Linked DNA regions of Oryctolagus cuniculus. The protein of the gene in region 1 purifies or fractionates together with the protein of each later gene. This does not show direct contact. Links are inferred from orthologs where the notes say so. Each region holds a gene or a part of one and is shown on either strand. Other genes may lie near its edges. The genes, in order: FBL, TGS1, DCAF13, SIRT7, NOLC1, NOP58 and LARP7.

Region 1 (4,448 bases):
GGTGCACTTGGGCCGTCCTCGCTGCTTTCCCAGGTGCATTAGCGGGGAGCTGGATGGGAAGTGAAACAGCTGGAACTGGAACCGGCTCCCACAAGGGATGCTGGGGCTCACCCTGCTGTGCCACAACCCTGGCCTCAAGAACCTAGAACTTAATCCAGGTCTCCGTGGGGGTGGCAGGGCTCAAGTACTTGAGCCATCATCTGTTGCCCCCCAGGGTGGGCATTAGCAGAAAGCTGGATCAGAACAGAGCAGCAGGGACTCGAATCGGGCACTCTGATACGGACGCATCTTAACTGCTGTGCCATGAATGCCTGCCCCAGCATGGGCACTTTTACAGATGCTGATATGGGGCCCAGGCTGGGAGGCGCCGTACTGAGGGCCTGGCCTTGGGGTAATTAGTCCCCACTCCCTCCTGCTCAGGAGGAAAGCTACAACCGAGGCCTGACAGAGCAGAGACCCTGGGAAGGCCCGGCATGAGCACTGGGTACAGGGTCGTGAGCGTGAACTGTGCCTGAAAACTCAACTCGTCGCTAATCCATCGCCGGCCTTGCGGCTCGTGCACCAGAAGCCACCGACTCTGACTCCCAGGGAAGCTTCGGGCGCACAGCCCACAGACTCCCTGCTTCCAAAACTGCCCCCACCGCCGTCTTCCTCACCCACAGGGCCAGCTCCATCCTTCCAATTCCTCTCTCACATCCACACAGTCGACTGGTGCTATTTCCAAAACACATCCCCAGGTCATCCATTTGTCAGCAGGTCCACTGCTGCCATCTTGGTCCGAACTGCGTCACCAGGTTTCAGCGACACGCCTGCCACCGACGTGCCTGCAGCCACTCTGCTCCCCTAAGGCCCAGTTTACACAGAGGGCCCCTCTTCAAGATGTCAATCAGGGTGCAGTAGGTAAAGCCAACACCTGCCGTGTAGGCATCCCATATGGGCGCCGGCGCAAGTCCCAGCTGCTCCACTTCCAAACCAGCTCTCTGCTATGGCCTGGGAAGGCAGCAGAAGATGGCCCAAGTGCTTGGGCCCCTGCACCCACATGGGAGACCAGAGAAAAAGCTCCTGGTTCCGGATTGGCACAGCTCCAACTGCTGCAGTCAACTGGGGAGTGAACCAACAGATGGAAGACCTCTCCCCGCCCCTGCAATTCTGCCTTTCAAATAAATAAATAAATCTTAATAAAAGAAAGAAAGCTGTCTATCAGACCGCACGGCATCCTGCTCAGAATCTCCCAGAGGCTTCCCATCCTATCACAGCATGCGGCAAAGCTGGGAGGGAGAGGCTGCTCCCTCTGTCCCTGGGGGAATCTCAGGTGGCTCGAGGCCTGCAGGCATGCCAGGTTCCCAGGAGGAGAGATCTACAGCGTAGCATCCACCCCACTTCATCAGGAGACACCCAAGGGAACGAGGCTCAGGAGGAGGGCATGGATCCACAAGCTTCCCCCAACCCCCCCACGACCCCCATCTCCACACACACAGGGAAACTCAGACCCTTTCGGCCACAGTGGAAAACTTCCCAAACTCTGTGCAGCAAGTTCTCAAACAGAACGATTGTGGGGGTTGGGCAGAAGGACCCTCATTTTGTTTCCCTTGAGAAGCAACCTGAACCTGTTATCTATATGGCCAGTATTGGGCTAATTGTTTTTAAAACATCATCTCCCTTGGGGCCAGTGCCATGGCTCACTTGGTTAATCCTCTGCCTGCAGCGCTGGCACCCCATATGGGCGCCCGGTTCTAGTCCCGGTTGCTCCTCTTCCAGTCCTGCTGTGCCCCGGGAGTGCAGTGGAGGATGGCCCAAGTGCTTGGGCCCTGCACCCCATGGGAGACCAGGAGGAAGCTCCTGGCTCCTGGCTTCGGATCGGCGCAGTGCCGGTCCTGGTGGCTATTTGGGGGGAGAACCAACAGAAGGAAGATCTTTCTCTCTCTCTCTCACTGTCTATAACTGTCAAGTTAAAAAAAAAAAAATGATCTCCCGTAATAGTAACCAGGTGCCATATTATTGATGCAAAAACCGGTAAAATCACTTGTTCAAGGTCACATACACGGCGAACGAAGAAGCGGGGCCAGGATTCGAACACTGAACCGAGGCCCTGCTCCTGTCAAAACCAGGAGTCACATCCTCCCGCCATCGGGGCTGAGCAGCCCCACACCCCTGCCAAGGGCGGGCTTCTAGAAACCCACTCCATCGCCGGGGGCAGCCCCCCGGAAGCGCAGGGAGCGGCTTCAACAGGGCCAGGGGCTGCTAACGATGGTGGTGGCGGCAGCCAAGGGGCGGCAACGGGGGCCTCCCGACCCTGCTGCCAGCCCCAAGACCAGGCACTCTCGGTGTCCGACCCAAACCCACGCCCAGGGACCCAAGACCTCAGAGACCTGGATCCAGGCTCTAGGTCCGAGCCCCCCGAGGGCTGCCCAGACCCAAGAGCCAAAAATCTCTTCCTAAAGACGGCTTCCGCGAGACGAACCCTGGGCCAGGAACGCTAACCTCAAACCAAAGCTTCTGACTCACGGCCGCGACCCCCGAAGCCAGCCAGAATTCCCCAAACCCCCAGGGCTCAGGATCGACCCCAGGTTGGGAGCAGGACCGCCCCCCCCCCCCCGCCCTCCTCTCCACACGAGATCGGCTCCCGGGCTCGGAACGCCAGCCTGCAGGCCAGGACCCTGCCCCTCCGATTCCGGCCTGGTACCCACATTCCTTCCGGAGCCCAGTCCCCAGCCCGCGACCCCAACCCCAGCCTGCACCTGGCTTCATGGCGAGCTACCAGTTGCGCCGTCTGGGGAATCTGCGGCGTCCCTGAACGCACGAGTCTGGGGCTGCCGCACGTGGAAAGGAGCGCAGGCGCGCGGCGACGTACGGCGCATGACGCGTCACGCAGCCCCGCCCCCGGGCTCCCGGGCTCCCTGCCCCGCCCGGCGCTCTGCGCGCGCGCAGTGGGCGGGGATTTCCCGAGTCCCGGGCTCCGCCCCCTCCGCGCTCTGCGCTTCCCGGGCTTTGCGCGCCCAGGTGTCGCGGCCGCGCTCAACCTGTCTTCGCTTCCTCTTCTCCGGTGCAAGGATCCCAGCGATCGGGACTACTTCGCACAGGCTGTGCCCCCTGCCCCTCTTGTGTCTTCCTAGCTACATCCCTGAGGCCCCCTCTAAGAACCATAAAACCGTTCTTTACCCAATTCCACCCCTGAGACCAGGGCTGTACTCTGGGTTCTCATTTGTATTGGCACAAACAGCATGTAGGGTGCCTCTTGTATGCGCCAGGCGCTGGGAATTCAGCAGCGAACAAAACAGAGAAACTGCCGCCCTCCTGGAGCTCGTCTTTTGTTTATTTTATTCCAAGATTTATTTTATGGATTTGAAAAGCAGAGATACAGAAAGAGAGGGAGAGACAGAGATCTTCCTTCCGCTGGTCCACTCCCCAAATGGGCCAGACTGAAGCCAGGAGCTTCTGCCAGGTCTCCCACGTGGGTACAGGGGTCCAAGCACTTGGGCCCTCCTCCGCTGCTTTGCCAGGTGCATTAGCAGGGAGCAGGGTAGTGACTCGAACTGGCGCCCATATGGGATGCAGCGACGGCTTTACCTGCTACTGCTACAGGGCCGGCCCGGACCTCATCCTTTAATGGGGAAAACATCAAGTCAGCAACACACGGTGGTGGCTAGAAGTCCATATGGGACTTCTGAGAAATGAGCTCCAAGTGTGAGGCTCCCACTTTTCAGGGACAAAGGAAGGCTCGGGAGTGCTGGAGACACAGTGGTGAGTGTGGCCGGGGCAGAGTGAACCAGGGGAGGGTGGGAGGGGCCCCGGGCAGGGAAGCAGCAGGGCAGACTGTATGTGTAGGGCCTCTGTGCTTTTACCCCGAGGGAGACGGTGCCATGGCAGGGACCTAAGCAGAGAAGGGGCTCCATCAGACATGGGTCACTCAGGCCACGGTGGGGGTGACGGCGGGAACAGAAGAATGAGAAGCGACCAGGCAGGAGCCAAGGTTGGACCACAGCAGCGTGTGGGCAGGGAGGGGTGAGGAGGGCTCCTGCGTGAAGTATTGAGAACACTGTGCCGTGCACTTTTGTGATACTAATATGCGTCCCACGGAGCAAAGCAGCGTTGCTGCTGGGAGAAGTTGCTGAATGCACCCACGGGAACCTCCTGGTGTGCAGCCCAGGCTCCGGGTCTGCTCCATGCACTGCTCTCTCGCTGGGAGCCCAGAACAGGCCTGTGGATGCTAAGCCGCTGCTTTTCAAATGAATGAGTGAGTGAATGAATGAAACCACACAGTTTTTTTTTTTTTAAGATTTATTTATTTATTTGGAAGGCAGAATTACAGAGAGGCAGAGGCAGGGAGAGAGAGGTCTTCTATTACTGGTTCGCTCCCCAGATGTCTGCAATAGCTGGAGCTGTGCCAATCCAAAGCCAGGAGCCAGGAGCTTCTTCCACGTCTCCCATATGGGTGCAGGGGCCCAAGG
Region 2 (3,683 bases), on another chromosome or scaffold:
GTAAATGATTAAGGATGAATTCCAAGTGAACATCCATTGGCTTTTTCCTGAAGTAAAGAGGCTGCTATCAGTTAACTTTCCCAAATAGCAAGTAGATTTTGGTCTGTCCAACTTCCCTGCCTGACTTTGCCCTTCCACCTGGACCTTTATGTTTTGAGACTCATAGAAAACTACAATGTGGAGTCAGAAGCCAAAGTGAGCCCCCAAAAACCATGCATTCTTGTTACCTTTGAAAATCTCTTAGCTCTACGGTGCTGGAACACATCACTGTGTGTTCAGTGAAGCACTGGGTGAAATGTTTGCTTTGTGTTATTTAGTGCTGCAGAAATAAGGTTTCCATAAACACTAGGCTGCCACTGACTGTAAGAAAACAGGCATGCCAGGAGAGGAACATAAAACTGAGCCATTCCCTTCCCCCATTCTGCTCTTCTCTGAGCTTTTGTAAGTTCATTGAATGGAATAGTGAGTAAAATCCCCTTCTTAATCTGTTTCCCTCTCCTAGGAGCCTATTTGTAGAATTTACACATGGGAGATTTCTTTTTTATTTGTCTCTATATTGCCATTTAAGATTGACTGTGTTATTGTCGGAGATCATCAAGCTTTTTTGTTATTTGTTAACTTGCTGATGTAAAACATGATAAACGACAAATAGTTGTGAAATCATAGTCTTTACCCTTTATATAATGTGATCCTAAATTCTCTCAGAGCAGATCTGTTACTTTCCTGTAACTCCTGTGTGGACTTGATATAACTCAGATGTCCCATGTAGCAGCTCAACACTAACTCATTATATTGTGACAAAAAAATTATTATATTAATAGAGCACTTAAGTGGCATTGGTCTAATTAATGCTATTACTACTACTAGATAACCATATTCAGGCAAAGTGGAATTTGGTTGTGATAAATGGTTTTTTCCAAGATCTGAAATCAGGAAGCTTGAAAGAACCTTCCAGTTTGGTGGATTTCTTTCTTTCCTTGTTTTTTTTTTTTAAGTCAGTTACAGAGAGAGAGAATCTTCCATCCACTGCTTCACTCTCCAAATGGGCACAATGGCCAGGACGGGACCAGGTTGAAACCAGGAGCCCAAAGAGTTGACCATCTTTCCAAGCGTGTTAGCAGGGAGCTGGATAGGAATTAGAACAGCCAGGACTTGAACCAGCGCCCACATGGGATGCGGACACTGCTTAGGCCACAACACTAGCCCCGTTTGGTGAATTTCAAATGTTTAAGAGCAGAACACTTTGGTTAAATCAGCTCTTCCATCGAATCCTAGGACCTCAGTCCTCATTGTATCAAAGTGGCTCTGAGGGGCCTGAAGACAAACCTCTCTTACCTCATGCTAAAGCTCCTACAATCACTCCACAGATCAGAATTTTTTTTTTTTATGGATCTTATTTATTTGAGAAGTAGAGTTACAGGCAGAGAGGGAGAAACAGAAAGGGCTTCCATCCACTGATTGGCTCTCTCCAAATGTCCGCAGTGGCTGGAACTGGGCCAATCCAAAGCCAGTAGCCAAGAGCTTCTTCTGGGTCTCCCACTTAGGTGCAGGGGCCCAGGCACATGGGCCATCTTCCACTGCTTTCCCAGGCCATAGGAGAGAGCTGGATCGGAAGTGAAGCAGCCAGGACTCAATCTGGCACCTATACGGGATACTGGCACCACAGGTGGAAGGTTAGCCCACTATGCCACAGCACTGGCCCCAGATCAGGATTTTAAATCCACGAGCTCATGTAGCAATTTTTCAGGTAAGGAATGGGAACACAGAAGTGTTTTTCCCAAAGTTACACTGTCCTATCCCCTCTCATTTCTATCCTCAGTATTTGTGTGGTGCATGGCACAGAACAGATACTCAGTAAGGGAGCCACAGTTGAGCAGATTAATGGACAGTGGCAGGCAGAGCTGGAAGAGAAGTTGTCTGAATTCTTCTTTGGCTGTTCATGTGATTAATCTATATGACCATCAGTTCTTTTTTTTTTTTCCACTTAAGAATTATAACACTACAAATGGTGTAATCATTCTGGTTATCAAATTCTTTAAAATAAGGATAAGAAAACTCACCTCAAAATTTTCTCTAAAACTAAGTTCACAATGCTACCTTTAGGAGACCAGGCTACAGAAGACGAGGAAGAGGGTCATTCCCTCTGCACTGCTGAATTACATGACACCAAACGCATGGGACTGGATGAAAGCGAACTTGATTCTGAGGCCGAACTCATGAGAAGTATGGGATTGCCGCTTCAGTTTGGTGGCGTTTCTGCACATAAGAATTTTGAGGTAAATATTAATATACTTTTATTATTTCTGTTTCTTGGTTTTCCTCATAAAATTTCACAAGTACATATTTGTAGATTCACCAAAATTGCAAATTGTAACAGTTCCATGTGTGATTCTTCCTCCTCTTGGGAACTTAAATGTAAGAATCACTTGCTTGTGTACCTAAAAGCCCAACATAGGGTTTTAGAGTATCTTATTTAATTCAATGTCAAAATAATGTTGGATTCTACTTTTATACTTAATGAAGTACATTTTATATTCAAGTTATTGTTTATCTGTTGTAGATATCTATGAATACTAGAAATAAAGTTAAAATAAAAAAGAAAAAGAGAAAACATGAAAAGAAGTACTTAGATGAAATGATACGAGAATCTTTGAGAAAGGAATATGAAGAAGATGACATTTTGGCCTCAGATGATCCATCTTCAGTTGAACACTGTGAAAATACCAGAACATGTAAATTTCAAGGCAAAAAGGATGTTGAAACCAAAAGTCTTCCTGTTGAAAATACTTTATCTGCAAAGCTAGAAATTACAGAGAAATGGGAGCAGTATTGGAATGAATATGGAGGAGAACTATTATGGCAATGTTGGCAAGAAAAACATCCAGATCAAACACTGCCTTCTGAGCCTTGGAACTTTCCTGAAACGAAAGAAGAATGGGAACAACATTATAGTCAAATTTATTGGTATTATTTGGAACAGTTTCAGTATTGGGAAGCTCAGGGTTGGACTTTTGATACCTCACAAAACAGCAATATAGACACTTGTGCAATGAAAACAGAAGTTGATAACCAAAAAGATGAAAATTGCATGAAAGTTGGCTTAATATCTTTTCCATCATCACCTAATACAGCTCATAATGAAAGCTCTAGTTCCAATGATAAGGATCATAATGAAATACTTGCTGGAATTAGTAATATAACTCTGAATTCAGAGGAAATAGGCCAGAGCCAGTTAGACTCCTCAGTAAGTTGTGATGGTCATCAGGAGCTAAGTGAGGACAGCAGCAGGAGAGAGTGCCCTACTTCTGGCCAAAGGGAACCAAGTAATGGAGAAACCAAGGAGAACAACTTATCTGGGAATACAAACACAGACCAACCAGCCCAGGGTAAGATTAGACAAAAAAAATGTTCTACTAAGTGAGAGTTAGCAAAATAAACCTATTTAGCAAAACAACTACTGCTAATCCTGTATGGTGGAGTTGAATGATAGCAACTCTTTTCATAGTATAATACTTAAATTATTTTCCATCTTATTTTTAGATCATAGTTGTATATTACCCTTTTGTATTAATAAGAGTATTTGGGTCTCAAAAGTATCATTCTTTCTTGTTACTCCTTGGTAGCCAGTGCAGGAAACCTTAACAAACTCTGGAGGAATCTTAAGTTAGAAGGAGCTTAGAACT
Region 3 (4,333 bases), on another chromosome or scaffold:
ATTTTATGTTGTCTAGAATTATCTTTTAGGGGACTAAGACTCAAGCTCAAGACTTTGTATTCCCTCAGGCCAAGAATTCTATCAGGTACATCTGAAGGTACATTCTTCAGGTACATCTTAAGCCCATACAACAATCTATAAAAGTCAAGAGAAATCTCTACCAAGTGAACTGAATAGAGTTCTCTACTTCTGCAGATGTAATTCTACTTAACTTGTAGTGATAACTCAAAATGCCAGAAAAGCTTCCAAATAAAAGGCATCAAAGATTATCTTTGAGACTATCTTTTCCAGAATTTACTATCGAGTTTAACTTCTAAAATGCTTTATCAATTTCAAAATACTTAAGATGCTTTAAAAAAAAATCGGTAGCACGTAGACTAGCTACCGATTCGTCACTAGACCTGTATACACACCAAAACAAAACAAAATGAAACAAAAGAAATCTCAATAGAATTGTATTCCAAACCTATTCCCAACCACCCGCTGAGAACTGTGCCCGACCCCAAGCGCTAGCATTTTCCTTTCCGTAGCTCTGCCAAACACGTGGCTACACTACGGTTTCAAAGTACCTCCAGGGTGAACGATTTGTTCCTCTAGGGCTAAGTCCTAAAATGCCACAATCCCTTCTTTCATTTACAAATCAGGACTTGACTCCCAACTTCCACAACAGACTTTCTCAGACTCTTCTACCCACACGCCCCATCCCCTGGTCTTCCTGGGCGAGGGGGACGGAGGCCGGATTTCCTCACCGGACCCCCTCCTCAATCTAGCTCCAGGTGAGCCCGACAGTCGGGCATCTTCAACGACCCCCTGCTCGTAGTTCGGTTAGAGGCAGGGGAACCCAAAGCCTCCTTCTGAGCCTTCCCCCGCCCCCAGTTCGGGCTGACTGGGAGAAGGAGCGGTCCTGAGTCTGGGCCGGCTCTTACCGGCGAAGCGGATCTTCACGAGGTCGAGCGGGTGTAGCGCGAGGTTAGACAAGACCCCGCCGCTCACGCCCGCTACCAGGTTCTCGTACCGGACGTGGTGGAACACCGTGCTCCACGCCGACGACTGGGACGCCGACTGGCCCTGGCCCGTCATAGGCTCGGGGCCCGCCGACACCACGGCGCCCAGGGCCGCGGAGGTGGGACGAGATGCAGTGGCCGCCACCGTGGCGACAGTGGCCGCGCGGGGGTAGGAACCGCGGGCGCGAGCCCACTTCCGGGACCGGCGAGATAATTCTGACACCCCGATCGCGGGAGCGAAGCCGGGAGACCGTAGCGCAGAGGGGGCGGTGCAGGGGCGCAGCCGCGCTCACGCCGCGGAGAACCCGAGGGAGGCGGGCTGCCAGCCTCCTCCGCCTCCCCGGCCAGCCTCGCCCACTGCTGCCGCGGGCTTCGGCAGAAGGGCAAGGGCAGGAGCGCCCGGCTGTGGAAACGCCCCCTGCCAGCCTTTGCCGGCAAAACTACGGAGTGCCGCAGGATCCAGCCGAGCCGGCCGGCCGGCTTCCGCTCCCCGGAGGTACGTAACAGGAAGTAGTATCAGGAAGGCGGAAGTCGCATGTGCAGGAGGAGGCGGCGGTGGTACGCGCCGCGGCTCGCAAACTCGTGTGGGTCGCTGAGGAAGAGCCGCCGAGATGAAGGTGAAGATGCTGAGCCGGAACCCGGACAACTATGTCCGTGAAACCAAGTTGGACTTACAGAGAGGTGGGACGCCCTTCGCGAATCCTGGGGTCTGGCCTCGGTGTCCACAGAGTGGAAGTCAGGGGGAACCCAGCGTCCCAGTCTTGTTCTTTCCCAGTTTCCTTTGCCAAGGCAAGCTTTGGCAGCTAGGGCCATTACGGAACCGAGTAGCGGGTACTGTCGTTTCAAATTCTTTCCCAAGAATTTCTTCGGCTTTGGAGTGGGAAATACTGGTCATTTTCTGTATGGGGAATACTTCCGTCTCCCCCATGTCCTGCTGTTGCATTCTGTCCTCAGGTTCCTGTATTCGAAGTGGAATTTGGGCCAAACTCGTGGGTTAAAGGATTTAAGAATTAAACGGGCTTCTTTAAATCTTCCTGTTGCTCTCACTCCTGGCCACTTTACCACTTCACTTTACATCCTTATGGATGTGGAAGAGGGAACGACGAGATTCAAAGCTGTCAGTTTTCTCTTATCAACAGTTCTTACCGAAAGTTTGAGGGGAAGATGAATGAGATATATTAATGAGATATATTTATCCTTACTGCTCTGCTCTTCCAAAATCAATCTGACCACTTAGGAATGGTAGCTTATGATGCCTAAATGGCTAGGAGCTAAGCTTGTGTGAGCAGACCATTCCCAGTGAAGAGACTAGCAGGTGCAAAGGTCTTTAAGTCAAGAATGAACTCAATGCATAGCAAGAAGGGCCATGTCATTGGCGTGTAAATGAGGGGTTGGTGGTAGATGAAGCTGGAATGGCATTTCTTTTTATTTTTTTTAATAGGTTTATTTAGTTATTCGAAAGGCAGAGTTACAGAGAGGCAGAGAGAGAGGTCTTCCATCCGCTGGTTCACTCCCCAATTGGCTGCAATGGCCAGAGTTGTGCTGATCCGAAGCCAGGAGCCAGGAGCTTCTTCCAGGTCTCCCACACAGGTGCAAGGGCCCAAGCACTTGGGCCATCTTCTACTGCTTTTCCAAGCCATAGCAGAGAGCTGGATGGGAAGTGGAGCAGCCAGGACTCGAACTGGCGCCCAAAAGGGATACCGGCACTGCAGGTGGTGGCCTTACCTGTTGTGCCGCAGCACCGGCCCTTGGAATTAGCATTTCACTATTTTAATTGAGTAATAGAGATTATCAGTGTGTATGTGAGGATTGTAAGGGGTAAATATGATTTCTGCTCACAAGATGTTTACAGGGTAGGTTTACGTAATAGGAATGTTTCTCAAATGCAAATTTGTCACTTAAACTTGACATCATCCCTCCTCCTGGCACCTCTCTGGTCCCTTCTTCATGTCTACTTTCACCAGCCACTACTTTCTCCACAGGTAACTTAGATTCACTCTGGCCAGAGAGAGTGCATTTAGGCATTCTCTTTTACACTTCCTGTGGCATGTACCCTTACCCAACTTGTCTACTTCCTCAGGAAAACGCCTCTGAACGGCCCTCTTTTACCTCTATGCATATTCCCTCCGCCACTTAACAGCCCCTTCTTTGCTTCCATCATTTTTTTTTTTTTTTTTTTTTTTTACAGGCAGAGTGGACAGTGCAGTGAGAGAGAGAGACAGAGAGAAAGGTCTTCCTTTGCCGTTGGTTCACCCTCTAATGGCCACCGTGCTGCGGCTGGCGCACCGCGCTGATCCGATGGCAGGAGCCAGGTACTTATCCTGGTCTCCCATGGGGTGCAGGGCCCAAGCACTTGGGCCATCCTCCACTGCACTCCCTGGCCACAGCAGAGAGCTGGCCTGGAAGAAGGGCAACTGGGACAGAATCTGGCGCCCTGACCGGGAATAGAACCCCATGTGCCGGCGCCGCAAGGCGGAGGATTAGCCTAGTGAGCAGCGGCGCCGGCCCCCATCATATGTTTTTAACGCTTCTGTCAGAGTGTTTACCACGTTGTCTTATGATCTTTATTTTGATTAACACAGGCTTTCCCATCAGAATAAGCTTACAAGTGGGGAAGAATCCTTTTCATGTATGCACTATGTTTATTTAGTCAGCAGCTGGCACATATGGTTGCTTTATAAGTGTTTGAATGAATGGGTGACTGCTTATCATGAAATTTCAGTGTTTGGAAGTTGTTAGACTTCTAGTCTTTTTTTTTTTTTGACAGGCAGAGTTAGACAGTGAGAGAGAGAGACAGAGAGAAAGGTCTTCCTTCCATTGGTTCATCCCCCAAATGGTCGCTATGGCTGGCACGCTGCCTGGATTGAAAGCCAGGAGCCAGGTGCTTATCCTGATCTCCCATGCGGGTGCAGGGCCCAAGCACTTGGGCCATCCTCCACTGTACTCCTGGGCCATAGCAGAGAGCTGGCCTGGAAGGGGGGCAACTGGGACAGAATCCAGCGCCCCAACCAGGACTAGAACCCGGTGTGCCGGCGCCGCAGGCGGAGGATTAGCCTAGTGAGCCGCCATGCCAGCCAGGCTTCTAGTCTTGATTTCTGTAACATATCCCTGTTTTACTTTCTGGTGGAAATGTTGATAGCAAAATGGAAGAATAAAGTTTTGGGGTTCTGTAAAAGGAGACATTTTATTATCTATTCATTTGTTTTTGTTTTGTTTAAGTGTTATTTCCTTGTAGATGTTGTGTGATACCAGATACTGGAATAGAGACCAAGGAATCTATATTTTTAAAACTGCCTTGGTAATCCTGAGGTGGCTGGTTAACTGTTGTT
Region 4 (4,413 bases), on another chromosome or scaffold:
AAATCCTGAGCCTTGGAGGAGCAGGGCCTGGCCCCTGGTGTCCCCGGGAGGGGGGGTGAGTGAGGAAGAGGAGCAGGGCAGGGTGAGCTCGCGGGGCCTTGATCCGGCCCCCAGGGCTTCTGGGGTTGGCGAGGCCATGCGCTGGGGTTCCCGTCCCCTCACTCGAGCCCCTCTCCCCTCACCCTGATTTCTCCGCAGTAGATTCTGTGTCCACGCGTGGCTCTGTGTGTCCTTCGGGTCGTGCTGGGTCTGTCTCCCACCGTGAGGGTGTTGTGTTCTCTCTTCTCACCCCCCCCCCCCCGACACGGCGGATGGAGGGCTGCGGCTGAGGCCGGGCCTCCCGAACCTGTCCGCCAAGTGAACCCAAACCTGCGCCTCCCCTCCTGCCTGACGCCGCCCCGGCCCCTCCTGATCCCGGACGGACACGCAGACGTCCCCACGCAGCGTGGCCCGGGCTCCCTGCTGGCTTCAGTGGGTCTGTGCGCGCACCCCTGGCCTCCGTGGTCGGCGTCGGGGGCCACCGCTCTGGGCTGGTGGTCAGGCCCTGTGCCTGCCGCCGCCTCTCTCGAGCGGCGGCTTGGCCAGAGCTCCCGTCCACAGCGGGGCAGCCCGGGCAGCCCGCTGCACACTTCCGCTCTGGGATCCTGTGAGTTATTTTTTAGGCTGTGGTTTGGTGAAAGGAACCAACACATTAACGATTTTCCCCCCCCAGAAGCCACTGAGTGACTCCTCCTGGCACGGGTTCGGCTTCCTGCTGGCTGTCTGGTCTTGGGGCAGGTGGGAGAGCAGAGGCTGTGTCGTCGGTGCCACGCAGGCAGGCGTGTGTGTGTGGGGCTCGGGGCCCCTCCTGCCTCTGGGCTGTGCGCGTGGCACCTGCTGGGCCGGCTGCAGGCTTCCCGCTGCACGCCCGCCGCGAAGCTCTGGCTCTGAGAGCCGGGGTGGCCCTGCGCGTCTGAGCTGGAATGGCAGAGCGCGGCCCCTCCCCTCAGCCCCAGCCCCTGCCCGCCCCTCCTCCCTCCCGTTCAGTTCGCGAGTCCCTGAAGCCTTTAACCAAACGCAGTCGCTGCGGACAGCCTTCTCCCGGTGACCCGACCCCGGGCAGCAGGACAAGGGCTGCCTGCGCGTGCGGGCTGTGCGGGGGCTGTGCGGTTGGTGGTGGCCCCCTGCTTAGGGCCGAAGCCTGCAGAGGTGACCGTGGGGTGCCCTGGGGTCCGCAGGGCGGGTGGGGGGCTGATGCAGAGCTAGGGAAGGGAGGTGCCCAGGCGACCCGCAGTGGGTGTGGGGCGTGCGTGGGAGGGACCTGTCCCCGGGGCCCCGCGCCGTATTTATTGCTAAGTTATTGTCCAGGAGGGGCGGCCCTGGGCCTGGCCGCCGGTATTTATTGCTGTACATAGTGTATGTTTGTGATATATAAGGTTTTCTTTATTTTGTATATGATCAATAAACACCTTTTAAAAAGAGATTGGCAGGTGCTTCCTTGGGGGCGGGGCGGCGGGCGGGGCAGGAAGGGCGGGGCGGGGCGCGCGCGCATGCGCCCCGGGCGGCCGCCGGCGAGGCGGAAGCGGAAGCCGGAAGCGCCGGTCTCCGCGGGGAGCGATGGCAGCCGGGGGTCTGGGCCGCTCGGAGCGCAAGGCGGCGGAGCGGGTGCGGAGGCTGCGGGAGGAGCAGCAGCGGGAGCGCCTCCGCCAGGTAGCCCGCCCGCCCGCGCCGCGCCCCGCGTCCGTGTCCGTGGCGCGCGGGCCGCCTCTCACCGCCCGCCCGCCCGCAGGTGTCCCGCATCCTGCGGAAGGCGGCGGCCGAGCGCAGCGCCGAGGAGAGCCGGCTGCTGGCCGAGAGCGAGGACCTGGTGACCGAGCTGCAGGGCCGGCGCCGGCGGCGGGAGGGGCTGAAGCGGCGGCAGCAGGAGGCAAGTGCGGGGCCGCGCGGCGGGGCCGGGCGGCAGGCGCGGGCTGAGCGGTCGGTGTCCGCAGGTGTGTGATGACCCGGACGAGCTGCGGAGGAAGGTGCGGGAGCTGGCCGCCGCCGTGCGCAACTCCAAGCACTTGGTCGTCTACACGGGCGCGGGGATCAGCACGGTAGGGAGGCGCGCGCGGCCCAGAGCCACACTCGCCCGGGCCGCGCTGGCCCGGAGCGCCGCGGGGCGGGCGTGGGGCGCCCCCTCCTGGGACACTGACCGCGCTGGACGGCGCGACTCGGCCTCCGCGCTGCCGGGTGTGCGGGCAGAGCTGAGCCGCGCCGCGCCGGTTCCGCAGCGGGAGGCGAAGGGCGTGGGGCCGCCGACGGCGGGGCTGGGGCAGGGGGAGCTTTGCTGGACGGGGGCGGCCCGCAGGGGGAGGGGGAGGCACTGCGGGTACCAACGGGCCAGGGCCCAGGGTACTGAGCGCTTCCTGCTGAGCCTCCCGTCTCCACCGCGAGTGGGACAGCCCAGCCCGGCGGTTCTCGAGCCGCGGCCCCGTGGCCTGGCTGGCGCTGTGACCTCAGTGTCGGGCCCCTGGCGCCGGCGGGCACTTCTCGGAGCTCGGGCTGCCTGGGGAGGTGGGGCTCGTGCAGGGGGGGCCTGGCAGTCTTCTGTGTCCTTTGCTGGAAGGGGCGACGTGGGGGGGTGCACAGGTCGTCCGTCATTGTTCAGGTGGGGAAGGGGCCGTTCAGAGCCCTGTGCAGTCCTCCCTCCGTGCCCGAGACACACGGGTCCTTGCGCCGTGCTGTGGCGGCTCTCGGGGCGCGGGGGCCTGGGAGGATAGTGAGGAGGGAAGCCGCACCGGGGTGCAGCTGCCCGGGCCCCGGCCGGTGGGCAGCCTGGCGCCCCCCTGCAGGGTTTCTGCCTCCCGGCAGTGCCGCCGGCCCACTGGGCTTATCTTTTTCCGAGCGCACAGGCAGCCTGCATCCCAGACTACCGGGGCCCCAACGGCGTGTGGACGCTGCTCCAGAAGGGACGGCGCGTCAGGTAGGGGCTCGGCTCGCCGGCCTGCAGGTCCTCACCCCACTTTCCCAGGCGAGCCCCGGCCTGCAGGTCCTCACCCCACTTTCCCAGGCGAGCCCCGGCCTGCAGGTCCTCACCCCACTTTCCCAGGCGAGCCCCCGGCCTGCAGGTCCTCACCCCACTCTCCCTTCCGCCGGCAGCGCTGCCGACCTGAGTGAGGCCGAGCCCACCCTTACTCACATGAGCATCGCCCGACTGCACAAGCAGAAGCTGGTAAGAGCCGGACGGGGCTGGCAGGCCCGGGCGCAGGGGAGCGGCTGCACCCTCTCTGTGGGAGGAGTACACGGCGGCCCCCCAGACAGAACAGCAGCCCCTCCTGGGAGCCGTCCCGTCCAGGGCATCTTGGCCCAGGGTTGCTCACCGCCCCCCCCCCCTCGCTTCACCCCAGGGCCCCCGAGGGCCTCCCGGGCACGGGGAGCCAGCGAGGAGGGGAGGGTCGCCCTCTGCCCAGGCCCTGGAGCCGAGCGTGGATCTGGCGTGGCCACGTCTGCCCCGTGGGAGCCCGAGCTGCAGCCTCACCGGAAGGGCGCAGACGCACGCTCGCCCTCCGGGTGCTCCAGGCCCGGCACTCTGCGGGCTGGGCCTGCCGAGAGCTTGGCTCTCCGAGGTTTCCTGTGGGGTCGGGGCTGTCGCTGGGCTCAGAGGGGCTCCCCTGCAGGTGCAGCACGTGGTGTCGCAGAACTGCGACGGGCTCCACCTGCGGAGCGGGCTGCCGCGCTCGGCCATCTCGGAGCTGCACGGGAACATGTACATCGAGGTGAGCGGGCGCGCGCGCGGGCGGGCGGGCAGACGGGCGGGCGCGCGGGCGGGCGGGCGGGCGCGCGGGCGGGCAGGCAGACGGGCAGACGGGCGGGCGGGCAGGCGGACGGGCGGGCGGGCAGACGGGCGGGCGGGCAGGCGGGCAGGCAGACAGGCAGGCGCGTGGGCGGGCAGACGGGCGGGCGGGCGGGCAGGCAGGCAGACGGGCGGGCCGACGGGCAGACGGGCGGGCGGGCCGGCGCCCCCGCTCACCGGAGCCTGTCGTCCCCCCAGGTCTGCACCTCCTGCGTCCCCAACAGGGAGTACGTGCGCGTGTTTGACGTGACGGAGCGCACCGCCCTCCACCGACACCAGACCGGCCGGGCCTGCCACAAGTGCGGCACCCAGCTCCGCGACACCATCGTGCACTTCGGGGAGCGGGGGACCCTGGGGCAGCCCCTGAACTGGGAGGCAGCCACTGAGGCCGCCAGCAAAGCGGACGCCATCCTGTGTTTGGGGTCCAGCCTGAAGGTAGGCGCCGAGGACCCGGGAGCCCGGGCTGGGGCCACGCCCCTGCTGCGGCCGCGGGCGCGCGCACGTGCCCTGTCTGTCGTCCGTGTGTGCAGGTTCTGAAGAAGTACCCGCGGCTCTGGTGCATGGCCAAGCCCCCTAGCCGGCGGCCCAAGCTCTACATC
Region 5 (3,683 bases), on another chromosome or scaffold:
GTAAAGGTTCCTTCCACCTCCATTAGCACATACACAGGTTACCTATAAATTCACCTAAAGTAACCTACTTCCTACAGTGGATTGGGGTTTTTGATTATAGTTCTTTTTTTCATTTACTTGATTAGTGATTTCCAGTCATGTAGGAATTAATGAAACCAATATTGTGTGTCACATAGCTACCCAACAGAAATATAAATATCAATAAACGATATGTACGTTTAAGATTATTTTGTTCTCAATAATGTAAAAAAGAAAAGATGGCAGTTCTCAACTTTGTTCTCAGAACTGGTAGGGGTCAAGTCACCGAAAATTCAAAGTAGAAAGATTTGCTTTCAAATTTAAAACCAAAACATGTACTGTGTTGCCAACATTATATAATATAAAACCACACTCATAAAATAAAACTCAGATTAACTTATGTCATTCATACCAGAATAGAATTTTGCCTATTAACAAAAACAGTAAATTGTATCCTAAGATGTAGGTAGGTCCATGCTGGCTGAGAATTTCAGGCCCCGACCCAACAAATGAGGATGAACTACATAGTGCATGCTTAACAGGCATGTACACATGTTAATCATTCTTCAGTGCCTACAATGGGGCTTTGAGGGAAGGACGGATGAAATGTGAGCATACTCATAGGCAGAACTCTTCCCCAACTATAAAAATTCACACGTGACAATCTACTGTATCTTGGGTAATAGCTAAGATTTTATCTGTAGGAACCCACCTCTGAAAATCACAACAATAGTCATTAGGAAATGATTTAATATAAAATATACAAATTTCTCAGTGTGAGGACTTTCACAAAACAGGAAGAATGGGGGTGACAACTAAAACAGACTTTTAAAAAATAATGTTCCCCTTACCTCTTCCCTGCTACCCAACACTCAAAAAAATCTGTACAAAACTAGAACACAGAAAAAGACCACAGAAGATGTTATGTTGCAGTCCGAACTTCTGTCCTCACCAAGACCCTCCCCTAATTGAGCTGAGGGTCCCCAGGTCCACTGAAAGTGGGAGGTCTCTGATCATCACCCCTGCATCACCAAGGTCACTCGCTGTCAAACTTAACAGAGTTCACCTGGACCGAGATGGAGCCTCCTCGGTAGCTACCGCGCTTCTTCTTCGTCTTCTCGTGCCGGAAGGATTTGCCTTTGGTGAACTTTAGAACTTGATTGGCTCGTTCCCCCCAGTCCCCAGCTGCACCACGCTGGTGAAGCAGAGAAATACTTAACACACAGAAGGACAGCACCAGTGCCCCACCGTGCTCTTCTTTCTACTCTTTCATGGAAACTTAGTGTCTCCCACCAACCTGAATTGAAAGTTGCCCGTTCTTCTACTCCTCAACCCCCAAGAACAGCAAACATCCCTCACCTTGGCATCGAAGGAGTTGTCTGCCACTCGGGAATCCACTTCAATTTCTTCCTCCCGGACTCTTCGGAATGGGGATGATGCCCTTTTTTCTCCCTAATGAAGAATCAAGTTGGAAATTAAAGATGGGGTGGCCATCTAAAGCCCTCTGGAATAACACACCACGTGGTGCCAGGCCAGGCCAAGCTTTCAAGATGATCTCAATTTCTTTCTACTTTTAAAGGGCTGACTTTCTGAGAAGAAAATGAGATAACTCACCTTCTTCCTTTTAGGAAATGTGTTGGGGGTCTGCACCTTAATCTTCTTGGCTTGAGGAGTCCCTGCCTCACTGGCAGCCTCATTCTGCTTCCGCTTCTTTCCTGAACATACAAACAGAAAACCCCACAATCAGGAGACCAGTTTCCAGTTCCTTCTTCCATCCCACAGAGGATCTGCAAATAGAAGCCGCAGTGGGGTGGAGGGGGCCTCCTCTCCCTACAGTATCCTCCCAGTTATCCTCATCCTGGTTTTGAAGGACAAAACCCAGAGGGCAGGGTCTTCAGACACAGACCTGGCTTAGAAACTGCCACTGCCACTGCTGCCTTTTCTTCCTCTTCCTCTTCACTGTCCTTGCCTGCTTTCCCATTCTGGGCAGCAGTCAGGGCAGAGGTACCATTGGCCTTGGGAACTTGTGGTTTCGGAGTGCCCTTGCCCTTGTGCTTCTCTTCTTCCTCCTCACTGGAATCATCCGAGGAAGAACTGCTGCTGCTCTCGGCCTTCACTTGCTTTACGGAAGCAGGCTTGGAAGGTGCTACGCCCCCTGCTGCCTTCTGTGGCTTCTTCTTAACTGGGGCTTTGGATGTCTTCTCCTCCTCCTCCTCTTCACTGCTGGAGCTGTCGGAATCAGAACTGCCCTCCCCATCAGCCTGAGGAGGCTGTTTGGCAGGCACAGGTGGAACTGCTTTGGCAGTCACCTTGGACTTAGGGGTGGCTGCAGTCTTCTTTGCCTTTTCCTCCTCCTCACTAGAGCTGCTCTCCTCCTCACTGGAGCTGCTATCAGCCTTTCTGGTCAGAGGCTTCTGGCCACCACCTGCAGGCTGCTTGAGAGCGGCAGCTGGCTTAGCTGCAGGCTGCTTGGGAGTGGCAACTGGCTTACTCGAGGAATTCTTGGTGGCACCAGCTGGCTTGGCAGGAGCTTCATCCTCAGAGCTGTCGGAGTCTAGACAAACACGAAGGACAGAAGAATCAGCTCCCGAATCAATTGGAGGAACCCTGTAGCAGCTGCCCACAGATCACCCCGCTGCCCTGAGTGCCTCCCTAGCCATACCTGAGCTGTCTGAGGAGCTCTCCGCTGCCTTCTTTGCTGGTGCTGGCTTAGGGGTTGTTTTAGAGACAACTGCCTTAACTGGAGCTTTCTTCTCCTCCTCGGAACTTGAATCTAGGGAGAACCTGGGGCATTATGTTGGGTCCAGAATACCACTCCAACCAGGAGAGCAACAAAAAGAACACAGACACACAGAAAGCCTTAGCCCTGCCTCAGTTTAGCAAAAAACAGTAGAGGGACAGTGGATCTTCCCCCTCCCTATCCCTCATGGTCCTCCCTGCCACATGTGTGCGTGCACACACACTCCTAGCAGCACTCCTGACTCACCAGACTCATCACTGCTGTCTTCACTACTCTCCTCAGGCTGTTTCTTCTCTACAGCTTTCTTGGGAGGCTGGGTTCCTGGGGACTTCTTCGGTGCAGGAGCAGATGGTGGGGGTACTGAGCTGTAAGGACCTGTTTGAAAGGGACGACATGGTGATTTAAAAACATGTACCCAACTCATTTGACACACTGCCCTCTTCTGGATGCAGGGCCTGACTCATCTCAAGTACAAAGTACAAGGTGCAGGTCATGTCTTGCCACTTCCCAGTCTTTCTTGCTAGGACCCTCAGCTCGGGGATCATGTTACAAAGACACTCAACTCAAGCAGCTCCATGGAGAAGTCCGTGCAGTTATTGTAACTGGGTCCAGGACAATCGGGAGTTTCACTCCCCATGTTCACTAACCTGGTTTTTTCTTCACGGGTTTTTTCTGCTCCTCTTCCTCCTCACTGGAGGAATCCTCACTGCTGGAACTCTTCTGGGTAGGGGGAGCAGCTGCTTTGACTGGAGCCTTGGCCACAATTTGCTTTTTAGGTACAGCCTGTGTCCGAGAGAGAAAATCCATGACTTCAAAAAAATACTGATGAACCCTGCCAGGGAATGGAAAGACACACAGACCCTACATTCCCTGATACAAGTTCTAGCCCATACCTTCTTGGGAACGGCCACAGCCTGCTCCTCCT
Region 6 (3,683 bases), on another chromosome or scaffold:
CTAAGTGATTTACATACATTAGCTAACAAAATCCACAAAACAACCATTTTATGGAATACTGACGTCAGGAGTAAATTTGAATGTCTGGTCTTTGATAAATCAGGACTCCAGTATTGACAGCATGTGAATTTGGCACTGTTTCTTCCTAAAAGGTATTTGTGACTTATTTATTCCGTATATTAGGTGATTGAAATCTCTGAATATAGAACCCAGCTCTATGAATATCTACAGAATCGCATGATGGCCATTGCACCTAATGTTACAGTCATGGTCGGGGAATTAGTTGGAGCACGGCTTATTGCTCATGCAGGTGACAGTTTTCATGTTATTTATAAACCTAAGTGTTTGTTTTCTCGCCAAGGTTTTATGTCTTTGAAGTAGTTATTAAACATTTTATGTGATAAAAGCAGATAAGTGGCATGTGGGTATGGGCTAAGGGGCCAAGTGTTCAATGATGACATTTATTTGTTTGCCTGATTTCCTTTTGGATAATGAAGGCATCTTTAGTCACTACCTCTTCTGAGACACTTGTGGTCCATTGTCAGAAGTTTGTTATAGTTAATTGGAATAATCAGATAAATGCAGTAGGATATAATGAGTTAAATTTTCTATCACTAGTGCTGTTGTTATACCCTATTCTATAAAATCTTAAGTATCATCTAGATGGAAGTGTTTAAAACTAGAGTAACTGCTTTAGCTGTATCATTTTATCAGACAAATATCCCATTGATCTATCCTAGGATATAAGGTTAGAATCATTTGCTTTGGGGTTCTGGCATTGTGGCATAGATGCTGTCATCCCCTATTGGCACTGGTTCCTGTCCTGACTGCTCCACTTCCCATCCCGGTCTCTGCTAATGGCCTGGAAACTGGGAAGCAGCAAAAGATGGTTCAAGTACTTGGGTCACTACCACCCATGTGGGAGACCTGGAAGTAGCTCCTGGCTTGAGCTTGGCACAGCCCAGGCTGTTGCAGCCTTTTGGGGAGTGTACCAGTGGATGGAAGATCTCTCTCTCTAACTCTGCCTTTCAAATAATTAAGTAACTCTTTTAAACAGAAAAATAATTTGATTTGGTTTCTTTATCTTTAGCCACATTTCATAGCTGTAGCTAAGTTTTAGCAGTGTGAGATGCAGAGTTTTAACAGAAGTGTGTTTGCACTTTAATCTTGTCTAGTGCTTGAATTTGTAGCCTTAATGTTGAATGTGTTTTCCTTTTAAAAAAAAAAGATTTATTTATTTATTTAATTGAAAGGCAGAATTACAGAGAGAGCGAGCTTCTATCCACTGGTTCACTCCTGAAATGGCCACATTGACCGTAGCTGGGCTAGGCCTAAGCCAGGAACGAGCTTCTGGCAGGTCTCCCATATGGGTACATGGGGCCCAAGCACTTGGGCCATCTTCTTCTGCTTTCCCAGGAGCATTAGCAGGGAGCTGGATCAGAAGTGGAGCAGCTGGGACTCAAACTGGTGCTCATACGGGCTCCTGGTGTCCCAGACCGCGGATTCCCGCTGCCCCGCAGCGCCAGACCTGGAATGTGTTTTCTGACAGAATATATTCCATGCAACAAACCCAACAAAGCCATCTCTTGCTGATGAGTATAGTTGTAGACACAGTTCTTCTGAATCTATATCTGAAATAAGCATAAGTAAAGTATGGGTGATTGATCAGGTACTGCTGAAGTATCTAATATATCTGGTTATTTGTATTCATATTCATATCTGAAATAATATTTATTTATTTAAAGTCCCAAATCTCAGAAAATCAGGATTAGATTGGTTTATGTGTGGATAAATATGTGTGTGTGTGTTTCTATATTTATATCACCCTTGTGTTGTGTTCATGGAATGTAGAATAGTAGTAATACCACCCTTTAGGAAAATAAATAATATCATTATCACAGGCATGTATCACAAAAAGCCTTAGCTTATGTTAATGAGAGTCACAAATGAGAGAACTTTCAGTGAATTCTGTATTACAGAATCCTGAATTGTTTGTATTTTATTATTAGTATGATAGCTGTGTAAATAGAGCGGAAAGCTAATGCTTAGCATGTGGAACTTCTGAATGCTTGCAAGTACACTCTTTCTACCTACATACTTTTTTTCTTTTGTAGGTTCTCTTTTGAATTTAGCCAAGCATGCAGCTTCAACAGTTCAGATTCTTGGAGCAGAAAAGGCACTCTTCAGAGCCCTCAAGTCAAGACGGGACACCCCGAAGTACGGTCTCATTTATCATGCTTCTCTTGTGGGTCAGACAAGTCCTAAACACAAAGGGAAGGTGAGCTACAATTTTTCTGAAGTTGGACTTCTTTTTCCCAGACAATAAGCTTTTTCCCTGTCTTTACTGCATGTAAACTTTTTGTTGTCTTTTAGTAAATAGGGAATGATGTGTTCTTTAATAAACACTTTTTTGTGGGTGTGCATTGACATAAAAGATTAGCAGAAATTGTTGTTGGTCCTATTCAAATCATTTTAGGATCCTCTTTGTGAGTGCCCAACCAAATGTATTCTGTGTGGCAAGAAAACTGATCTGACTGCATTTATGAACTATGAAAAATATTTATACATACATTGGGTGAGACACTTTGCTAGACATTCACTGAATCTTTTAATAACCCACATGTTGTTATAACCCACATGTGTGTCTGCACTTTACAGATGATGAAACTGAGGCTTGGACATGTCCTTTAATCTTCTGTAAGATGAGCAATTCTGTTCAATCAAGCTAAAGTTTTATAAAATAAAGAGTTCAGTAAAATAAAATTAACCATGAGCTGGCAATGCCAGCATTCTCTATCAGAGTGCTATTTCCATCCTGGCTGCTTCACTTTTGATCCAGCTCCCTGCTAATGGGTCTGAGAAACCAGTGGTTGATGGTTCCAGGTGCTTGGGTCTATCTGTGTATCTGTGTCTTTCCTTTCAAATAAAGTGAGAATTAATAAATAAATTAATAAATTAATTAAAAAATAGTTCTTCAGAGAACTATTTGAAGACTGTTGTGGGGGAAAGGATAATCTTTTTTTTTTTTTTTTTTTTGACAGGCAGAGTGGACAGTGAAAGAGAGAGAGACAGAGAGAAAGGTCTTCCTTTTGCCATTGGATCACCCTCCAATGGCCGCCGCGGCCGGCGCACCGCGCTGATCCGATGCCAGGAGCCAGGTGCTTCTCCTGGTCTCCCATGGGGTGCAGGGCCCAAGCACCTGGGCCATCCTCCACTGCACTCCCTGGCCACAGCAGTGGGCTGGCCTGGAAGAGGGGCAACCGGGACAGAATCCGGCGCCGCTAGGCAGAGGATTAGCCTAGTGAGCCGCGGCGCCGGCCCAATTTTTTTTCTTTTTTAAGATTTACTTCTTTATTTGAAAGAGCTACACCGAGGAGGAGAGGTAGAAAGAGAGCTGGATCAGAAGTGGAGCAGCCGGGTCTCTACCCAGCGCACATGAGATGTCAGCACCGCAGGCAGCAGCCCTACCCACTATACCACAGCACCGACTCCTGGACTTGTTTTTGAATGGCCTTAAGGAGTATCACTGGTGTCTGGAGTAGAAACTAAAGGAAAACACTGGAATAATAGTTTGAGCTGCTTTCAGATATGAACTGCTGCTATAAGAGCTCATTCACTGAACCATTGACAATGCAGAATAACTAGTTAGCTATCACTTGCAAGATGCGAGTAGACCCATGATA
Region 7 (4,324 bases), on another chromosome or scaffold:
AGCACCTGGCTCCTGACTTTGGTATTGCCTGGGTTGGAATCCTGGTTCCTCTTCCAATCCAGCTTCCTACAGGTGTACATCCTAGCAGGGAGTTCAAGTAATTGGGTCTTTTGCAACCCATGCAGGAGACAAAGATGGAGTTCCTGGCTTCCAGCTTTGGTTTGGTCCAGTCCTGGCCAACATCAGAGGGTGGAAGATCGGTTTGTGTGTTTGTCTTATCTTCTAAATAAAAAGATATTAATTTTTTTTCTTAGTGCTAATCTGTCTACATTTGTCAGACAATTCAAGTGGTGACCCACTTCCTAATCCGTGAAAGATAAATCAGCAAATAACTTTTTAAAATGATGTGGAGATTCCAAATGTTCAGTGATAATTATATATGCACATACACACAGATATATTATGGTGCTGTTATATTACATATGCAAAACTGGGTGTTCTCAGTTTTTAAAAATGAGCCATTTTCCAGGGCTGTGGTACAGAAAGTTAAAGCCCTGGTCTGCAGGACTGGCATCCCATATGAGTGACGGCTAGAGTTCCCGCTGCTCCACTTCCGATCCAGCTCTCTGCTATGGTCTGGGAAAGCAGTAGAAAATGCCCAACTCCTTGAGGCCCTGCACTCTATGGGAGACCCAGAGGAAGCTCCTGGCTCCCAGCTTAGGATCAGCTCAGCTCTGGCTACTGTGGCCATTTGGGGAGTGAACCAAGCGGATGAAAGACTATCTCTGGCTCTAGATCTTTTTGTAGCTCTTTCACATACATACAATAAATCGTTTTTTTTTAATGAGCCATTTTTCCTGTAAATTACAAGATGTTTCTGGTTCCCATGTTTTTGAACAAGCAGTATGTTTCAAACCTAAACTCCTTAACGGTTCAAACTTAAAAGTTTCAGAATACGAGCTCAACATCCTATTAGGAAACCAACCAGAACAAACAACCAAAGGAAATCCACACGTCATTTGCCAAGATCCTAATAAATCTGAGCCGTTGTTTTGAAGGACAATAGAGATAGACTTTAGGGTCATGAAAACAAACAGCAATACCCCTCTGGTCCTCACGGGCAGGCGGAATTGCAAAACAAAAGACTTGAAGAGGAGACACCAATTACCACGGGCGGTCCGGGCAAGCTGCGCCTGCTACCGCCCCCATCTCGGCCCCAAACAGCATTCTTCCCGGTCCGCTTCTGCGGAACGGACTCTTTCGGCCCCTAATCCTAAATCGCTCAAGTCCCCTTCACTGTCCACCCTTCATTTCCCAGATACCCCGAAAGCCACTTCACCTCGTCCCACTGCACAAAATCCACTTTTCGAATTTCTCCCGCGAAAATTTAGTGACGTCATCAAACCGGGACCACACCGGATGAAGACCCAAACTGAGGCCGCTCACCCCGCCTCACCTAGAACCGCCATTTTTAACCCGCCAATCAAAATCTTCATTGGCTTCCAGCCGCCTCGGCAGGTCGCGCTCTCCGATGTCCCGCCCTCCTGGAGCCAGCCCTCGCGTGTGACGTAGGCGGCGGACGTACGGCCTCCGGGCCCGTCTTTCTGAAGAGGATGAGAGTGTGGTGTCGCTTATCCTATGACGCGCAATAACCACGACTTTAAGCATCAGGAGACGGAAGGGGCTGAAGGACGCCGTCGCTGACGCTGTATTTTTAGAATTGAATCGAGTAAGTTGCAAGTGGCCCCGAAGTCGCGTTCATTGAGTAGTGTTAATCCTCAGTCTCTTTTCTAGCAGCTCATTCTATCATGTGTCGGCTATCTCGTCCCGCCCCCTCCCACGCTACCTTGGGTTCGCTAGGCCTAGTTCTCTGTGCGCACGCGCAGAAGTCCTCTGCTAGCTCTTGCAGTTCCAGTGTGCGGAGAGTGGGGGCGCATAGCGCCCGGCGTTGCGAGGTTTGGGGCACGCCCAGCGCTTGCCGGCGTCTGTAAGGAAGTACGGGTGCCGAGAAGATCAGTAGGTGCTAGGGAAAGTGCTTTATTTTGCCAATTGGAGTTGAAGTTTGTCTGCCAAAGGATAGCGAATGTGAGAACTTGTGTTCTAAGTCATTTTCTTTTACACGACTCTAGTTTTCTCCTCGAAGAGTTGAAAATCTAGTTGTGAGAAGGACCTAGCAATGAGTGCTAAGTACTGCATACCAAAAGCATTCCTAGAGGTACTTGGGGAAAACAAATCGAGCAATTGAGGAGGAGGTAGCGGTGGAAGTTAAGATGCCACCTACCCTGAGCCTTGAAAACCGAATAGGGGTTTATTAGACACAGGAGTTCTTTTGAAAAAGTGATAAAAGTTACGCATCAGCTTCCCAAGAGAATGTGCATATACTTATCAAAATATTTTCTGTTTAATTTTACTAGGAAATGTGTGAAAGACTTCGAAATGGCAAAAAAAATAATTACTTGGGGTCTTGTTTAACTCCTCCGAGATATCAATGCCTTTTATTGTCATTGAGCTCTTTTACAGTTGTGTAACTTGTAGAAAATGATAAATGGAAATCAGGTTTGTCTAGTGGAGATGTAGTTATTACCTCGCAGTTTAATGAAGTTCGGAAAAATGTTTATTTACTTGAAAGGCAATGGGACAGAGAGTGAGAGAAAGAGATGTTTTCCATCCTCTGGTTCACTCCCCAAATGCCAAGGCTGGACTGGACCAGGCCAAACACAGGAACCGGGAACTCCATCCCGGTCTCCCCCATGGGTAGCAGGAAGCTGGAGGTGGGACTCCGTCCCAGGCCTCCAGGATTAGGAATGTCTAAGTCCCACTTGGTGACTTAACTCACTGCCCCACAATGTAACTGCCAAGTTCACAAGAAGCCTTGCGTGAGGGGCAGGACTTTGTCCAAGCTGATCAGATGCTGCTTGAACAGCATCTTAACTCCTGTCAGATCTCTTGGGTTTGAGTCCCAGCTCTTCCCCTTCCTATCTAGCTTCCCGATTAGCACATCCTGGCACCCTGGAAGGCAGCAGATGGTAATTCAAATAATTGGGTCTCTGTCACCACATGGGAGGCCCCAATTGAATTCCTAGCTCCTGACTTCAGCCTTGCCTAGCCCCAACTGTTGCAAGCATTTGGAGAGTGGACCAGCAGATGGAAGAGATCTCGCTCTCTCTGGCCTTTGAAAGAGAAAGAAGTAAAGGAAATTGTAATCACCTAGATCTAAAAAGAAAGAATTCCTGGGTCAGAACATAGCATGCTAGTAACAAATTACAAGTGGCTCTACTGAAAGTAGGAATTAAGAGTCAAACAGACTTGGGCTCACTTACCCAGCTGGTTTTAGCCAAGTCACTTAACCTTTGAGTTTCTGTGAAAATAAACTACCTAGTGGGTTTCTGAGGCTTTAGAACAATGTAGAGTAACTGGCATTGTTACACAGTAACTTATTCTTTGTTTAAAGCCTATATTTAGAAGCCAGATTGGTTGGTTTTCTTTTTTTTCTTTTAATGCATGTCATTGAAAAGTGCCAAAGAATTTCTGATGTTGGGGTTTGACATCAATCTCAGAAAAACGAATCCATTCCAGACAAGTTACACATAGGCTTCTGTGTATGGCTGCTAGGATACTTTATCAAATGTTATCTTGTTACTAGTGACAGTAGTGGAAAATAATGAATGGATAGATGGAAGGAGGAAGGAAGGAACAAAGGAAATGAGAAGTCAAATTGATAGGATTTAGAGTGCTAAATCATGATAATGATTACATGTTATTGAGTATGTTCTGTAAAGCAGCAATTTGAAGTGCTTCATTTCCATTATTGTGATTAATCCTCACAACAGCCATATTATGTGGTTATAATTTTTATCCATGTTTTATAGGCCATAGATGAGGTAACTTGCTCAAAATCTGTGCAGCTAGCACATAGCATCATTTGTTAGCTTGATAGAATAGGTATCCTTAAGTAAGAGCATGGTGGTAAAGCAGGCCTGGGGAGGAGAGTTGGAGACTTGGAATGTGTGGAATCACAATATATAACTCTGATTTTCTGCAGTCATTGTTTGGGAAAAGTAAATTTAACCATTTCTTATATCACTTTCTGTTTAGTCTTTGTCTTTTAATTGAAGATATATTTCATCAGTCTGAGCTTAAATACTGTAAGACACAAAAATAATCCTTTTAATAAGAAAGAAGGAGTCTTTGGGCTGAGCTGTGAAAATGGAGGGGAAAGTTTTCTGGGAGAATTGTGACTTATGTGCATGTGCAGCTCTGTCCACTGCTTCTTAAGTGGTGGCTCAGACAAGGAAACTAGTTGGAAAACAGGTTGTCTGCTCCTTACGATTCATTGTTGACACTGGAGCCTGCTACAGTGATAATCATAGACTACACTTGTACC

What was found.
Region 2: the proteins of FBL (region 1) and TGS1 purify together in Homo sapiens (affinity purification with mass spectrometry; 3 studies listed by BioGRID and IntAct, counting the BioPlex papers as one, with this or other methods). This does not show direct contact. The link is inferred for Oryctolagus cuniculus from reciprocal best matches to the Homo sapiens genes FBL and TGS1.
Region 3: the proteins of FBL (region 1) and DCAF13 purify together in Homo sapiens (affinity purification with western blotting; 3 studies listed by BioGRID, with this or other methods). This does not show direct contact. The link is inferred for Oryctolagus cuniculus from reciprocal best matches to the Homo sapiens genes FBL and DCAF13.
Region 4: the proteins of FBL (region 1) and SIRT7 purify together in Homo sapiens (affinity purification with mass spectrometry; 3 studies listed by BioGRID, with this or other methods). This does not show direct contact. The link is inferred for Oryctolagus cuniculus from reciprocal best matches to the Homo sapiens genes FBL and SIRT7.
Region 5: the proteins of FBL (region 1) and NOLC1 fractionate together in Homo sapiens (co-fractionation; 3 studies listed by BioGRID, with this or other methods). This does not show direct contact. The link is inferred for Oryctolagus cuniculus from reciprocal best matches to the Homo sapiens genes FBL and NOLC1.
Region 6: the proteins of FBL (region 1) and NOP58 purify together in Homo sapiens (affinity purification with mass spectrometry; 7 studies listed by BioGRID and IntAct, counting the BioPlex papers as one, with this or other methods). This does not show direct contact. The link is inferred for Oryctolagus cuniculus from reciprocal best matches to the Homo sapiens genes FBL and NOP58.
Region 7: the proteins of FBL (region 1) and LARP7 purify together in Homo sapiens (affinity purification with mass spectrometry; 3 studies listed by BioGRID and IntAct, counting the BioPlex papers as one, with this or other methods). This does not show direct contact. The link is inferred for Oryctolagus cuniculus from reciprocal best matches to the Homo sapiens genes FBL and LARP7.

The regions. Positions count from the first base shown.
Region 1 is NC_091449.1:14,143,405-14,147,852, reverse strand, and holds the start of FBL (rRNA 2'-O-methyltransferase fibrillarin), read right to left. Parts: upstream 2,883-4,448; 5' UTR 2,749-2,882; coding exon 2,739-2,748; intron 1-2,738.
Region 2 is NC_091437.1:81,020,298-81,023,980, forward strand, and holds part of TGS1 (trimethylguanosine synthase), read left to right. Parts: intron 1-2,103; coding exon 2,104-2,276; intron 2,277-2,560; coding exon 2,561-3,386; intron 3,387-3,683. UniProt on the Homo sapiens protein: Catalyzes the 2 serial methylation steps for the conversion of the 7-monomethylguanosine (m(7)G) caps of snRNAs and snoRNAs to a 2,2,7-trimethylguanosine (m(2,2,7)G) cap structure.
Region 3 is NC_091437.1:128,636,862-128,641,194, forward strand, and holds the start of DCAF13 (DDB1- and CUL4-associated factor 13), read left to right. Parts: upstream 1-1,501; 5' UTR 1,502-1,615; coding exon 1,616-1,685; intron 1,686-4,333. Other genes in the region: SLC25A32 (solute carrier family 25 member 32), read right to left, coding at 927-1,080. UniProt on the Homo sapiens protein: Part of the small subunit (SSU) processome, first precursor of the small eukaryotic ribosomal subunit.
Region 4 is NC_091448.1:1,005,727-1,010,139, forward strand, and holds the start of SIRT7 (NAD-dependent protein deacetylase sirtuin-7), read left to right. Parts: upstream 1-1,531; 5' UTR 1,532-1,596; coding exon 1,597-1,689; intron 1,690-1,768; coding exon 1,769-1,906; intron 1,907-1,970; coding exon 1,971-2,075; intron 2,076-2,873; coding exon 2,874-2,944; intron 2,945-3,120; coding exon 3,121-3,193; intron 3,194-3,638; coding exon 3,639-3,737; intron 3,738-4,012; coding exon 4,013-4,249; intron 4,250-4,344; coding exon 4,345-4,413. UniProt on the Homo sapiens protein: NAD-dependent protein-lysine deacylase that can act both as a deacetylase or deacylase (desuccinylase, depropionylase, deglutarylase and dedecanoylase), depending on the context. Specifically mediates deacetylation of histone H3 at 'Lys-18' (H3K18Ac).
Region 5 is NC_091446.1:27,770,300-27,773,982, forward strand, and holds part of NOLC1 (nucleolar and coiled-body phosphoprotein 1), read right to left. Parts: coding exon 3,652-3,683; intron 3,542-3,651; coding exon 3,406-3,541; intron 3,134-3,405; coding exon 3,005-3,133; intron 2,792-3,004; coding exon 2,681-2,791; intron 2,573-2,680; coding exon 1,925-2,572; intron 1,734-1,924; coding exon 1,633-1,733; intron 1,471-1,632; coding exon 1,378-1,470; intron 1,214-1,377; coding exon 1,055-1,213; 3' UTR 1-1,054. UniProt on the Homo sapiens protein: Nucleolar protein that acts as a regulator of RNA polymerase I by connecting RNA polymerase I with enzymes responsible for ribosomal processing and modification.
Region 6 is NC_091434.1:37,686,813-37,690,495, reverse strand, and holds part of NOP58 (nucleolar protein 58), read left to right. Parts: intron 1-183; coding exon 184-310; intron 311-444; exon of another isoform or gene 445-528; intron 529-2,114; coding exon 2,115-2,278; intron 2,279-3,683. UniProt on the Homo sapiens protein: Required for the biogenesis of box C/D snoRNAs such as U3, U8 and U14 snoRNAs. Part of the small subunit (SSU) processome, first precursor of the small eukaryotic ribosomal subunit.
Region 7 is NC_091439.1:52,312,808-52,317,131, reverse strand, and holds the start of LARP7 (la-related protein 7), read left to right. Parts: upstream 1-1,383; 5' UTR 1,384-1,669; intron 1,670-1,827; exon of another isoform or gene 1,828-2,155; intron 2,156-4,324. UniProt on the Homo sapiens protein: RNA-binding protein that specifically binds distinct small nuclear RNA (snRNAs) and regulates their processing and function.